Sus scrofa: one gene and its partners. The protein of the gene in region 2 purifies or fractionates together with the protein of the main gene of each other region. This does not show direct contact. Links are inferred from orthologs where the notes say so. Each region holds a gene or a part of one and is shown on either strand. Other genes may lie near its edges.

Evidence for each region.
Region 1: the proteins of EED (region 2) and AEBP2 purify together in Homo sapiens (affinity purification with mass spectrometry; 6 studies listed by BioGRID and IntAct, counting the BioPlex papers as one, with this or other methods). This does not show direct contact. The link is inferred for Sus scrofa from reciprocal best matches to the Homo sapiens genes EED and AEBP2.
Region 3: the proteins of EED (region 2) and PHF19 purify together in Homo sapiens (affinity purification with mass spectrometry; 8 studies listed by BioGRID and IntAct, counting the BioPlex papers as one, with this or other methods). This does not show direct contact. The link is inferred for Sus scrofa from reciprocal best matches to the Homo sapiens genes EED and PHF19.
Region 4: the proteins of EED (region 2) and DDX5 purify together in Homo sapiens (affinity purification with western blotting; 3 studies listed by BioGRID, with this or other methods). This does not show direct contact. The link is inferred for Sus scrofa from reciprocal best matches to the Homo sapiens genes EED and DDX5.

What each region holds. Positions count from the first base shown.
Region 1 is NC_010447.5:53,667,488-53,670,987, reverse strand, and holds part of AEBP2 (zinc finger protein AEBP2), read left to right. Parts: intron 1-1,806; coding exon 1,807-2,014; intron 2,015-3,500. UniProt on the Homo sapiens protein: Acts as an accessory subunit for the core Polycomb repressive complex 2 (PRC2), which mediates histone H3K27 (H3K27me3) trimethylation on chromatin leading to transcriptional repression of the affected target gene.
Region 2 is NC_010451.4:20,156,662-20,159,247, reverse strand, and holds the end of EED (polycomb protein EED), read right to left. Parts: coding exon 2,570-2,586; intron 1,323-2,569; coding exon 1,249-1,322; intron 836-1,248; coding exon 709-835; 3' UTR 501-708; downstream 1-500. UniProt on the Homo sapiens protein: Polycomb group (PcG) protein. Component of the PRC2/EED-EZH2 complex, which methylates 'Lys-9' and 'Lys-27' of histone H3, leading to transcriptional repression of the affected target gene.
Region 3 is NC_010443.5:260,913,277-260,916,776, forward strand, and holds part of PHF19 (PHD finger protein 19), read right to left. Parts: intron 3,077-3,500; coding exon 2,995-3,076; intron 182-2,994; coding exon 86-181; intron 1-85.
Region 4 is NC_010454.4:14,575,731-14,578,485, forward strand, and holds part of DDX5 (probable ATP-dependent RNA helicase DDX5), read left to right. Parts: intron 1-293; coding exon 294-404; intron 405-961; coding exon 962-1,023; intron 1,024-1,174; coding exon 1,175-1,234; intron 1,235-2,479; coding exon 2,480-2,704; intron 2,705-2,755. UniProt on the Homo sapiens protein: Involved in the alternative regulation of pre-mRNA splicing; its RNA helicase activity is necessary for increasing tau exon 10 inclusion and occurs in a RBM4-dependent manner. Binds to the tau pre-mRNA in the stem-loop region downstream of exon 10.

The DNA of each region.
Region 1 (3,500 bases), on a different chromosome or scaffold from region 2:
ATTTTGCAGTTAAGGACCTCATGGAACTTGAAATTTCTAGGGCTCAAATAGTAATTTGTATTTCCACATAGGAAATCACCAGACCTTTAGTTTATTCCTGCAGAAACAAACTATATGAATAAATTTTTGGATAGTCAAGAGTTGATTCTCATTTGAGAGTGTTTTAGAGATTACAGAGTTTCAGAATGAAGTTTTAGAGTTCAAATTTAGAATCTCTATATTGACTGGTAGATAGCCAGATAGACTTAAATATATGAATATCCTTTAAAAGGAAATCTGAGACATTTTTAAACAACCTAGCTTATTTATTTTATACGTAGTTCGTACCTCTTAAGCCCATACCCCATCCTACCACTTGCTACTTCCCACTTCCCATTCTTAACCACTAGTTTGTTCTCTAATATATGAGTTCAGATTTAGATTTACATTTTTGTGTCTTTGAAATTTTTTATATTAAAAACTTGGAGATAGGGAGGCATTAAAAATTAATATTTTTGGAGTTCCCATTGTGGCTCAGTGGTTAACGAACCTGACCAGGAACCATGAGGTTGTGGGTTCAGTCCCTGGCCTTGCTCAGTGGGTTAAGGATCCGGTGTTGCCGTGAGCTGTGGTGTAGGTTGCAGATGCGGCTTGGATCCTGTGTTGCTGTGGCTATGGCATAGGCCAGTGGCTACAGCTCCGATTGGACCCTTAGCCTGGGAACCTCCATATGCTGCGGGAGTGGCCCTAGAAAAGGCAAAAAGACAAAAAAAAATTAATATTTTTATAATTTACTGGTACTTAATTTGCAGGCAGATATATGGCTTTTGGTGGCTTTAATCTGAAGCATTCTTACTATTGGTCCTTCCGTGATTGAAACTACTTCTGTGTAATTTCTCTATTGAGAAGATATTGAAAAAAGAAAATAAAGTGAATTGCTTATAAAATGAAGGCAAAGGATGTTATATTTTACCATGATGTGAAATTTTGAGCTTTCAAAATTACGAAATTACTTTTGTTACTAATGTCATTTTTTAGTAAACAAGAAGAATTACTAATACTTTGTTTAGTATATAAAAAGTAAAGGGGATTGATTGGCATTTTCAGTCTTTTTTGGTGCATAAAGGTTTAAAAGTTTTTTTGAGTGCCAGGAAAATACTTTTTATTTGGACTTTGGGAAAACCAGGGAAACTTTTTATTGATCTCAGTTTTCTCTCTTTTGCCTTTTTATTAAGAAGGGAAAATACAGCAAAATTTCCCAACTTCTTTGAGATGGAAAGAGGTAGGATGTGATAGTTGTGTTCTCAGATTAGTGAATAGAAGAAAAGATTTCAGTTCAAAAAGTGATTTGCAGAACTCTAAAGATAACCTTTTGATTTTGAATCATGGTCGCTTTATTACTTTATCATGCTTTTTAGAATTGTGGATGAAATGTGATAAGCTGTGTGTGTGTCTGTCTGTGTGTCTGTGTGTCTGTCTGTGTGTGACGGGTTTGTTTTCTGTAGGGTATAGTCTTGGGAACTTCATGGCTGTGGAAAGTTGCTTAAATTATTCCCATATCTGGTTTTGAGGTGCTAGCTTTTTTTGTTTTTATTTTTGTTTTTGTCTTGATTTGCACTTTATTGCAGATAATATTTATTTGAAGTTTAGCTTCAGAGAATAATTGAAACTAAATAATTGTAAAGCAGTGTTGTTTTCTAATGGAAAATATGGTTAGTATGCTTTATGGGCAGATTGTCAAGTAGTTATCTTAATTGAGTATTTATAAGATCATATTCATGTTAGTGAATTTTTAGGAATAACACAGCCTTTTTTCTTCTTTTGTAGCATAAGCAGTACTATAATGGATGTAGACAGCACAATTTCCAGTGGGCGTTCAACTCCAGCAATGATGAATGGACAAGGAAGCACTACTTCTTCAAGCAAAAATATTGCCTATAATTGTTGTTGGGACCAGTGCCAGGCTTGCTTCAACTCTAGTCCAGATCTGGCAGATCACATCCGTTCCATTCATGTAGATGGTCAGCGAGGAGGGGTTGGTTTTGTCATTTCTTTTTTTCACTCCCTGTTTTCATTAGTTTTATTAATTTATAATTGTTAGGGTTTTTTTTTTTTTTTTCCAAAGTAATTTGGGATTGTTTTTACATAGGCTTTATTTTTTCCAATGTATTTTTTTTTTGTTTTGTTTACTTCCCACATATTTGATGGAATCAAATTAAATAGAACATATCATGTGTTGAATTTTAATTTGCTCGGAGTTACATTACTTTGAAGAAATTAGACTTTCTAAAATACATTGGGAATATTGTAAATAAATAAGATACATTCCAAGGTTCTGGTGTTTTAAGTTGAGGACCTTTAGAAATTGGCACTGTTTAGGATTTCTGTTGTTAGAGTGGTCTTAAATTATCCTTGATGCTGAAATTAACTGGAGAAACTATTGGCACCAGGATTAGTGTATACAGTCCTGTTAAACAGCAGTCTGCACTCATTATTTGTGGTAATCTTTCCCAAGTCTTGTCAGAGGTAGCTTAGTATTGACCTGTATTCTTTCGAGAATATTTTGTCAGTTCATAGAATTTTTATTGAATAATGAATAAAGAGTTAAAGCAAATTAGGTGAGTCAGTGTAATGGACCAAAATATTATAAAATTGATAATATTATAAATTTTTGCAACTTTATCTAGCTTTGTCTTGAATGGTAAGCCATACTTAGTACTCTTTCCAGAAATTAATGTCGCGTTGTTAGAATAGATAATTTGTTAGGCCACACATTGTCATCAGTATGCCATCATTGAGATAAAAATGATACTAAAATGGCTAAAATATTCTTGGCTTAAGTGAATGGGTAATTGTTTCCAAGGTTGTATTGATATTTAGACACTCTATTACTGATCTTTTTTTTTTTTTTTTTTTTTAACATGCAGCTGTAATAAGCACTCCTAACATTTTAACCAGTGGTGTTGCATTTGAAATTTTAAAGAAATATTTGCCGTTGTCACAATATTTTGCAATGTGTCAGCAATCTTTCGATGACTTAAACTTGATAGGTAAACATTTGTCTTGTTAGGTTTAATATATATGGGGTTTGGGTAGACACTAGAGGGTGTATTGACGAACTGTGCTCATCGTATGATATTTTCGCTGCATGACCCAGCTCAATGGTTAAGCTACTTTGATAACTGTCTTTATGTATCACATGTATCAAATTTCTAGTGGAACTATCTTTTCTTTTTTTTTTGATTTTCTATGGCTGTACCTGCAGCAGGCTAGGGGTCCAGTTGGAGCTGCAGCTGCCAGCCTGCACCGCGGCCACAGCAATGCCACATCCAAGCTGTGCCTGTGACCTACCCACAGCTCACGGCAACACTGGATCTTTTAACCCGCTAAGAGAAGCCAGGGATCGAACCCACAACCCTATGGGTACTAGTTAGATTCTTAATCCCCTGAGCCACAACGGGACTCCCTCTAGTGGAACTGTCTTAACCGAGTTGACTCTTTTTTTTTTTTTTCCTCTTAGG
Region 2 (2,586 bases):
TGAGAAACTTAACAGAAGTTTTTTGTATTTTACCCTTGTTCCCCTCTCATTTCACCTCCTACCTTTATATTTATGATCACTCACTCAGGCCTTCTTCATTCTTTTGTTTTAGGATAAACGCTCCACTTGTCATCTTGGTCCTAACTCTTTGGGGATTTTTCTGGTCTTATATATTTTAATTCTATTCTTGCTACTGTTTCTTTTCCATAGATATAAGCAAATCACCCTATGTTTGGGACAGAATCACCAAGTACACTGTGAGGTAAGTTTTACACAGGGGAAAACTGAGGCACAAAGATGTTAAGTTACTTACCCAAGGTCAGTTAGTGGTAGAGCCAAGATTTAAATTCAGTTCAGTTCTAGAGCTTATACATAATCACTTTATTATCTACCTTTCTTCAGTTAAACAAACAAAAAATAATCATTGCAAAAAGATAAGGTGCAATTTTATTACTTTCAACATTTCATCATAACGAACAAAGAAAATAAAATAACACAGCTTTACAAAAATAAATTTTTATTAAAAGCAGTAGAATCTGAGCAGGAGACAGTACAAAGAGTGTAAACAATGTAAACATCACTACATTCAGCTCAGCCTGATTGAATGCTGAAAGACAATTCTAAATTGCTCTATGTGCCTTTACTAGCAAGATACATTAGTTCTAATGTACACAGAAAACACACTGATTTTGATTGGGAAAAAGTATTTTATCGAAGTCTGTCCCAGCGCCAAATACTGGCATCATCACAAACAGCTATAAGAATGCTGCTATCTCTACTAAAACTGGTTTGTCGAATAGCAGCACCACATTTATGATGAGTCAGTGTTGTACATCTAGGGAGAAAACATGACAACAGGTTAATACCATACATACATAAGACTGTCAAGTATCTAACTTAACACAATGAATAAGAAAGTGAATAGATGCTCCAAGTCATATAGAAAAGCATTTGAAACCAGAATAGACTTCACTAAGGGCTCAATCTCAAATTTCATGAAATTGGGGTATACTTTAACTCCCAAAGGCACCCCATAACTTAAATTAAAAAAAGCGAAATAACGTGTTACCAAAGTATTTGGGAAAAACAGTTATAGAATAAAAGAGAAATACTTTACAATACTCTGAGAATGTAAATGTTACAAATTATTTAGGATGGCACTGCACATATCAATTACTTCCTTTATATTGAGCTAACACTTTGGAGAAAAAAGGCAGAAATTATGAAGAGGAATTTCTAAATACTTACTTGGCTTTATGAGGATCTTCTACTTCTAAATCCCAAACATAAAGTTTACCAACTTGATTGCCCAATGCAAGCATCTGTATAAACACATTTTTTTAAAAAAATATTAAAGTAAGCTATAAGATTTCAAGCAATCCTAAGACACTTTGTTATTTCAGAAGATCCTCAGCTGCAGCCTATGGCAATGCTCTTGATTGTGTCTTTGCATCTTATATTTCTGATTTGTAAAGGAGAAAAGAGCAACTGATGCCCCACAAAAGTGTCTTGAGTAAATTAAGATATTTTACAAGTTTATGAAGAACTTTAAAATTTACAATGTTATTAGCATGTATTCCTTATGCTGCCTTAAAGAACTGTAGTAAAAGCCGTAGAAAATCTGCAAAGCTTTTATATAGAAATAAATATCCAAGTAATTTGTTATCACAAAATCCTAATTAATACCCAAATTTCTTTAAAACAAGAAATTAGATAACTAATGTCTTGTCTCTATCTTCCATGTTGGTTTTTCTAAGAAAATGCTATAGAAAAAGATTAACATTCTGTAGTTCCCATCATGGCACAGCAGAAATGAATCCGACTAGGAACCATGAGTTTGCTGGTTCGATCCCTGGCCTCACTCAGTGGGCTGGGGATCTGTTGTTGCCGTGAGCTGTGGTGTAGGTCACAGACACGGTGGATCTGGCATTGCTGTGGCATAGGCCAGCAGCTGTAGCTCCGATTGGACCCCTAGCCTGGGAACCTCCACATACTGCCAGTGTGGCCCTAAAAAGAAAGGAAAAAAAAAAAAAAACAGATTAACATTTTAATCAACAAACATTAAATCTTAGTAATAGATGTTAGGGATAATAAACACCTGTCACCATTGACACTTGTCAATTTCATTTATAATAAGCACTGCGGATGGTGTGCAGAGCACAAGGGTAGAATAAATAACATCAAAGGCTGGAGTTCCTGTCGTGGCTCAGTGGTTAAGGAATCCGATTAGCAGCCATGAGGCTGTGGGTTCAATCCCTGGCCTTGCTCAGTGGGTTAAGGATCCGGCGTTGGGGTGAGCTGTGGTGTAGGTCACAGACACACTTGGATCCTGTGTTGCTGTGGCTGTGACACAGGCCTCTGATTCAGTCCCTGGCCTGGGAACTTCCATATGCCACGGGTGCGGCCCTAAAAAGCAAAATAAATAACATCAAAGGTCAAAGCAATTAGTATTTTTTTTAAAAAAGGTAGATTAAACTTTGAGGAAACACAACACAAATGCACTACAGAGAAAATTAAAACTGCCATGGTTTTACATCAAATAATTTCAAAACATAAAACATATTGCTACCTTTTGCCAGAAATCCA
Region 3 (3,500 bases), on a different chromosome or scaffold from region 2:
CGTGGGGGGCAACGTAAGTCACAAGTCAGCAGGGGATGGAAAGCCACAGGGCGGGACCTTCTGGTGCCCTGCTCGTCACACTTACCCAGGCCACACTTCCCACAGATGAGGATCTCATTCAGAGGCCCTGAGGTCTTCCCCAGGCAAATGTTGCACTTGGGCTCCTCCCCAGGAACTCCGGCTGAAAGAAAGAGGCCCTCTAGGGTCAGGTCAGGGTCACAGGAATTAGGAGTTTTCAAATCACATTCCAGGTGCTGGGCCCACAGCCGCCTATTACCACTCCCCCATTCTAGAGATGGGGAAACTGAGGCCCAGAGAGCTTAAGTCCCTTACTCAGCTAGTCAGTAGGAAAGATGGGAATTCAAACCCACAGCTGTCTGCCATCTAATCATTTATTCATTTGACTATATCATGCTACCTAATTTATCTCCTGGTTAATTTAGCTTGATTTGTTAAAGTTTATGTTAATTGAAAACTTTTGGTTGTGGGGTAATAATAGAATGTTATAATGAAATTCTCTGTTCTTATCAACAATTATGAACTCATGGCCAATCTTGTTTTGACTATATTCCCACCCGTTTCCCCCTCCTGAATTACTGTGAATCAAGCCCCAGATACCCATTCATTTTCTGTAAACATTTCAATATGTATCTCTGAAAGATTAGGACTCTATGTAAAAACACACAAAAAACTACAGGAGTTCCTGCTGCAGCTCAGAGGTTAAGAACCTAACTAGTATCCACAAGGATACAGTTCCATTCCTGGCCTCACTCAGTGGGTTAAGGATCCGGCTTTGCCACAAGCTGCGGCTTAGATCCTGTACTGCTGTGGCTGTGGTGTAAGCCGGCAGCTGCAGCTCCAATTCGACCCCTAGCCTGGGAATGTCAATATGCTGCAGGTGTGGCCCTAAAATGAAAGAGACCAAAAAAAAAAAAAAAAAAAAAAAAGCTACAGCGCCTTTACTGCACCTAAAAAGTAATTTCTTAATATCACAACAAATTCAGTTAATGTTCACATTTCCAGTTGTCTACAAAAGAAAGTCTTAAGTTCATTCAATTGCTTTTAATCTAAAGGCTCCCTCTCCATCCCTCTCTTTTCCTTGCAATTTGCTTTTGTTGAAGAATAAATACATATCTATGGGAGAAAGGTTTCAGTGAATAGAGTAAATACATTTTGATTTTCTGTGTGCTTCTGTCACATTTCCCCCAGCAGATCGAAGGTTCTACAAGGGAAGAAATGGTATCTGTTCATCTCTGCGTCCCCAAGACTTCTTATGGGGAAGGGCACATAACAGGTGTTCAAGACGTGCTTGTTGAATAGTCTCTTGCCTCTTATTCCTGAATATGCTCCTGGGAAGGTGGTACTCACTGTGTGGTGCCCATGCGCTCACACTGGGTGGCCTGGGAGCTGTGGGTTCCTGAGGTGAGCAGCATAGCACCTCCTCGGGGTGCTGGGCCCAGAGTGAGCCTTCTACTCACGGTTGCTAAGGTGAACTCGCTTGCTCACCAGCTGGCTTCCCCTCCTTTAGCTAAGAAGGTACCCCAGGAGAGGAGACCCTCATTGCTTTGGATTTTTTTTTTTTTTTTTTTTTTTTTTTGGTTCTTAAAGCTGCACATGCAACATACGGAAGTTCCTAGGCTAGGAGTTGAATTGGAACTGCAGCTGCCAGCCACAGCCACAGCAATGCCAGATCTGAGCCACGTCTGCGACCTACACCACAGCTCATGGCAACACCGGATCCTTAACCCACTGAGCAAGGCCAGGGATTGAACCCAAAACCACATGGTTCCTAGTCGGATTCGTTAACCACTGCGCCACAACGGGCACTCCCTGCTTTGGATCTTTAAAGATGCATTTTGAGGGAGAGGGGCTTGGAGAAGCAGTCTGCATTAGCCACAACGTCTTGGAGAAAAAGGCAATTTGCAAGCTCTACTAACTGGCCTCTGCTTGGCAGGCTCTTAAAATCACCTATTACGGTAACAAATTCTTCAGAAACTGCTGCTCCCTCAACAGCACTGGGCTTAGCATTTTACAAGGATTATCTCACTTAACCACCCTGTGAGGACCCTACTTTCACAATCTCCTTTTTTTCAGATGAAAACACAGGCTCAGTGAGGTTAGCTCACTTGCTCCAAGACAGGCAGCTAGTATGCGGCAGAGCTAGACTATCTTGGTCCAGGAACCATCTGACCCTAAAATCTGCCTTTCCCCCCACATACCACCATGTCTGTTCTCCTGTTAGAGCATAACTGGCAAAAAGGTCTTTTCTCTCGTGGTGACTCTGATTGGTAGCAGTTTCTTGGAGCTCCATGTTCAAAATATATGAGTATTGTGATTGATTAGTGATGTCTGGCATGGACATGGGAAGGGAGAATGGTGGTAAGAATGCCACCAAACTCCCATCTCTGTAAGACAGTGTCAACTCTCCAAGGGGTGGTATCCAACTCAGCTCCCCTTCAACTCTGAAAACTGTCCCAGCTCCACCTGGGCATGTCTACCATCACCCTGCCTGGTGCATATCTGCTTTTTTTTTTTTTTTTTTTTTGTCTTTTCCCCATGGATAGAGCTACCTCCCTAGTTTTCTTAACATGTTGATATTGTTAAGGAGGACAATGTGCTTAGATGTAAAGGTGACAATTCTGATTGCCTGGGGCTCCTCTGTTCCTAGTGCCAGAGTGATCCAGAGCTTCGGGCAGCATGGAAGCAAACACAGGCCTGGGACCCATCCGAGCTCTCCCAACACCTCCTGAGCCATCTGCCTGCCTCCCTCCTGAGGTCTGAGTATTCAAGGGGGTGACAGATGTCAGAAGTGTGTTTCCACGTAAATGTACAACTGGAAATCCATATGCCTATATAACCTCGGGTGGGCCTGGCACTCCAAGGACACCGCCAGATGCCAGAAATTACAGACAGAAAGAGAGAGGGAAAAAATGGAGGTAGAGGAGAGAGGACCAGGGGTGGGGCAGGGGTGCCTGAAATCATGGGAATACTCACCATGCTGTATGTCCTTCCACAGGACCCAGTACTTGGAATTATCTTCAAAAGTCACAAGGCAGCTCTGCTTTGAACTGCTGACCTGGGGCACAGAGAGGGAGGAGCAGCATGAGACAGTGGCTGGGAAAGAGCCACTGGAACCTGGTCTTCCTCTCCCACTTTTGTTTCCCCCTCCCCAGGGGGGGTGTCCAGAAAGCAGAGCTAGGCTGGGAGGGGAAGGAGGGTGGCAGTTCTGGAGGTAGTGGCCACGGCTCACTGGAGCTCTGCAGTCAGGGACCGGGGGACGGCAGCTCGGTGGGAATGCTTAGGACAGAACAGGCCAGGTGTTCTCTGTGATCCTCTCCAACCTGGTTTTGTTTTGTAGGCACCTGGAGCACTTTTCTAAAGATGCTGGCTCTAAGGATGGCACCTGCTTTTGCAGGCTCCCCCTCCCTCCACTCTCAGCTTTGGAGCAAGAGGGACAAGGTGAGAATTTCCCAGCAGTCTCCCATCTTCCACCACTGGTC
Region 4 (2,755 bases), on a different chromosome or scaffold from region 2:
ATTGAGTCATGCATTTATAGGTTACCTTAAACATGACTTTCAGTCATACTGGAATCTGGCTGTTGAAATTGGTCTATTCATTGTTCTGAAAATTGTTTTGCTTCCTTTGTTCATGTAATTGGTTGTCATCATGTTTCTATCATCTATAGAAAAAAAGATCTGTCTTAACAGGGGCAAGACCAAGGATAGACTGTTTATACGTTTAAGCAGGTGTTTGACTTGTAGCCATATGAGTTGAAGTTAGTGTTTTGCTGACTATAACTTAGAATTCACAATTTTTTGTTTCTTTAAAGACTTATTCGCCTAATGGAAGAGATCATGAGTGAGAAGGAAAATAAAACCATTGTTTTTGTTGAAACCAAAAGAAGATGTGATGAACTTACTAGGAAAATGAGGAGAGATGGGTATGTGGGCTTCCTCCATTGAAGCAGATGTATTAATAAGAGCTGAGTTTAGGGGGAGGGCAGAAACTTTAGTAACGTTAGACTTGAGGTGGGTTGTTTTTTTGTTTTGGTTTTTTTTCCTTTTCTGTTTTGTTTTTTGTGTTTTTAGGGCTGCACCTGCAGCAGCATATGGAAGTTCCCAGGCTGGGGGTTGAACCCGAGCTGTAGCTGCTGGTTTACACCATAGCCACAGCAATGCAGGATCTGAGCTGTGTCTATGACTTAGACCACAGCTCATGGCATTGCCAGATTCTAACCCACTGAAAGAGTCCAGGGATTGAACCTGCGTCGTCATGGATTCTAATGCAGTTCATTACTCCTGAGCCATGAAGGGAGCTCCTGATGGATTTTGACTTTCATCAATGGGGATAATCTGATGGTATAAATGAGAGCGTAGATACATTATTTGAAATTAAAAGGATCTTTGACCAAAAATGTTTATGTGCTTAATTAAATTCTGACAGTTAGACTTTGATGTTTAAATGTGAGTGTATTAATACAACTTCTCTTTAATTTAGGTGGCCTGCCATGGGTATCCATGGTGACAAAAGTCAACAGGAACGTGACTGGGTTCTAAATGGTAAGTATTTCAAGTGAAAGGTTCCCCACCACCACCAGAACCTAAATTCCATTTTGGTCAGTTATTTTCGTGTGTGTGTGTGTGTGTGTGTGTGTGTATATATATATATATATATATATATATATATATACTTTTTTTTTTTTTTTGGCAGAATTCAAACATGGAAAAGCTCCTATTCTGATTGCTACAGATGTGGCCTCCAGAGGGCTAGGTTAGTACAAACTCGAATTCATGGCTTGGTTTCCCAGAAGATCTCCATTAATTTTTTAAAGAAAGTTTATTGCTTTCTTTAACCTCTGCATTTTTTCCAAGTTTTTTTCATATAAAGGTGCAGTCTTTGTGGCAAGGCCTAGGCATGACAATCGGAGGACTCGAGGGGGATGGAGGACTAGTGATCGGCTGGCTGCTTCCAGTCGATTAGAGAGGTGAAAAGCTGAAAGTGTGCCAGTAATCTTCAAAAGGCAGAACATACCACCTCTGCCCCGTAAACTGTTCTCTCCGGGGGAAAAAAATGGAAGTTATCCTCACAGTTCACTGCCGTGGTATTTCTTCTGTCCCATGCTTTGCATGACTGCCATGGTACAGCATTGTTGCAAACTGTTTACTGTGATCTGTGGGTCTTTGAGTTTCAGTGAGTTTGCTGAAATGTCGAAGAAATAGTTCCAAACTTCAATGTTCAATGAAATTTTTGTTCCAAGTTTGAAATGGAGAGAGCAGCTTTAAAAGGTACTAAGCCTTTTACAAATTGGTGAGTACTGGCACATAAGATCCTAGAGCAGGGACAACTTCTCACACCTAGTCAGTGGGAAAAGAAAGCAGTGCTTTGAAAGTTCCTCCCTCACCTACACAGTAGTCGTCATGTCGAGACCTGCCAGAGAGAGACACATTCTCAAGTGAATCCTGGCTTCTTGGAAGCGCTTGCCTAGACGAGACACAGTGCATAAAAACAACTTTTGGGGGACAGGTATGTTTTTCTTGCAGCTGCGGTTGTAAGGTCTTGGCAAGACAAGCAGTGTGGCCAGAAATTTGAACTTCTGATGAGTGTGTAATGCAAAGGACCATGTACCTTTTTCTTGAAAGGTCCTCAAAATGAGCACACGAGGAGGTTGCTGTGAACCTTTAAGTGGCCCTACTGCGCAGAAGCATTCAGATGTCACTTGATGATCTGTAAGGGGACTTGGCTGAATTGGGAATGTATTAGGGAATACACACACGTCCTTTTGACAGGCTCCGTTATTGGGTGGGTCACGAGGCGTATAAGTGACGTGTGCTTCTTATTTTTCTCTCTTCAATCTCAATGGTATTCCTACAGGGAATGGATAACCATTTTAACTGTATTTTTTGCAGCCCATACCTTCTTGGGAATACAATTGTCTAACTTTTTATTTTTGGTCTGGCTGTTGTGGTGTGCAAAACTCCGTACATTGCTATTTTGCCACACTGCAACACCTTACAGATGTGGAAGATGTGAAATTTGTCATCAATTATGACTACCCTAACTCCTCAGAGGATTATATTCATCGAATTGGAAGAACTGCCCGCAGTACCAAAACAGGCACAGCATACACTTTCTTTACACCTAATAACATAAAGCAAGTGAGCGACCTTATCTCTGTGCTTCGTGAAGCTAATCAGGCAATTAATCCCAAGTTGCTTCAGTTGGTCGAAGACAGAGGTTCAGGTAAGACCAGCTTTGGATGAGAAATGTTGATGGTCTTGGGTCACATTAATC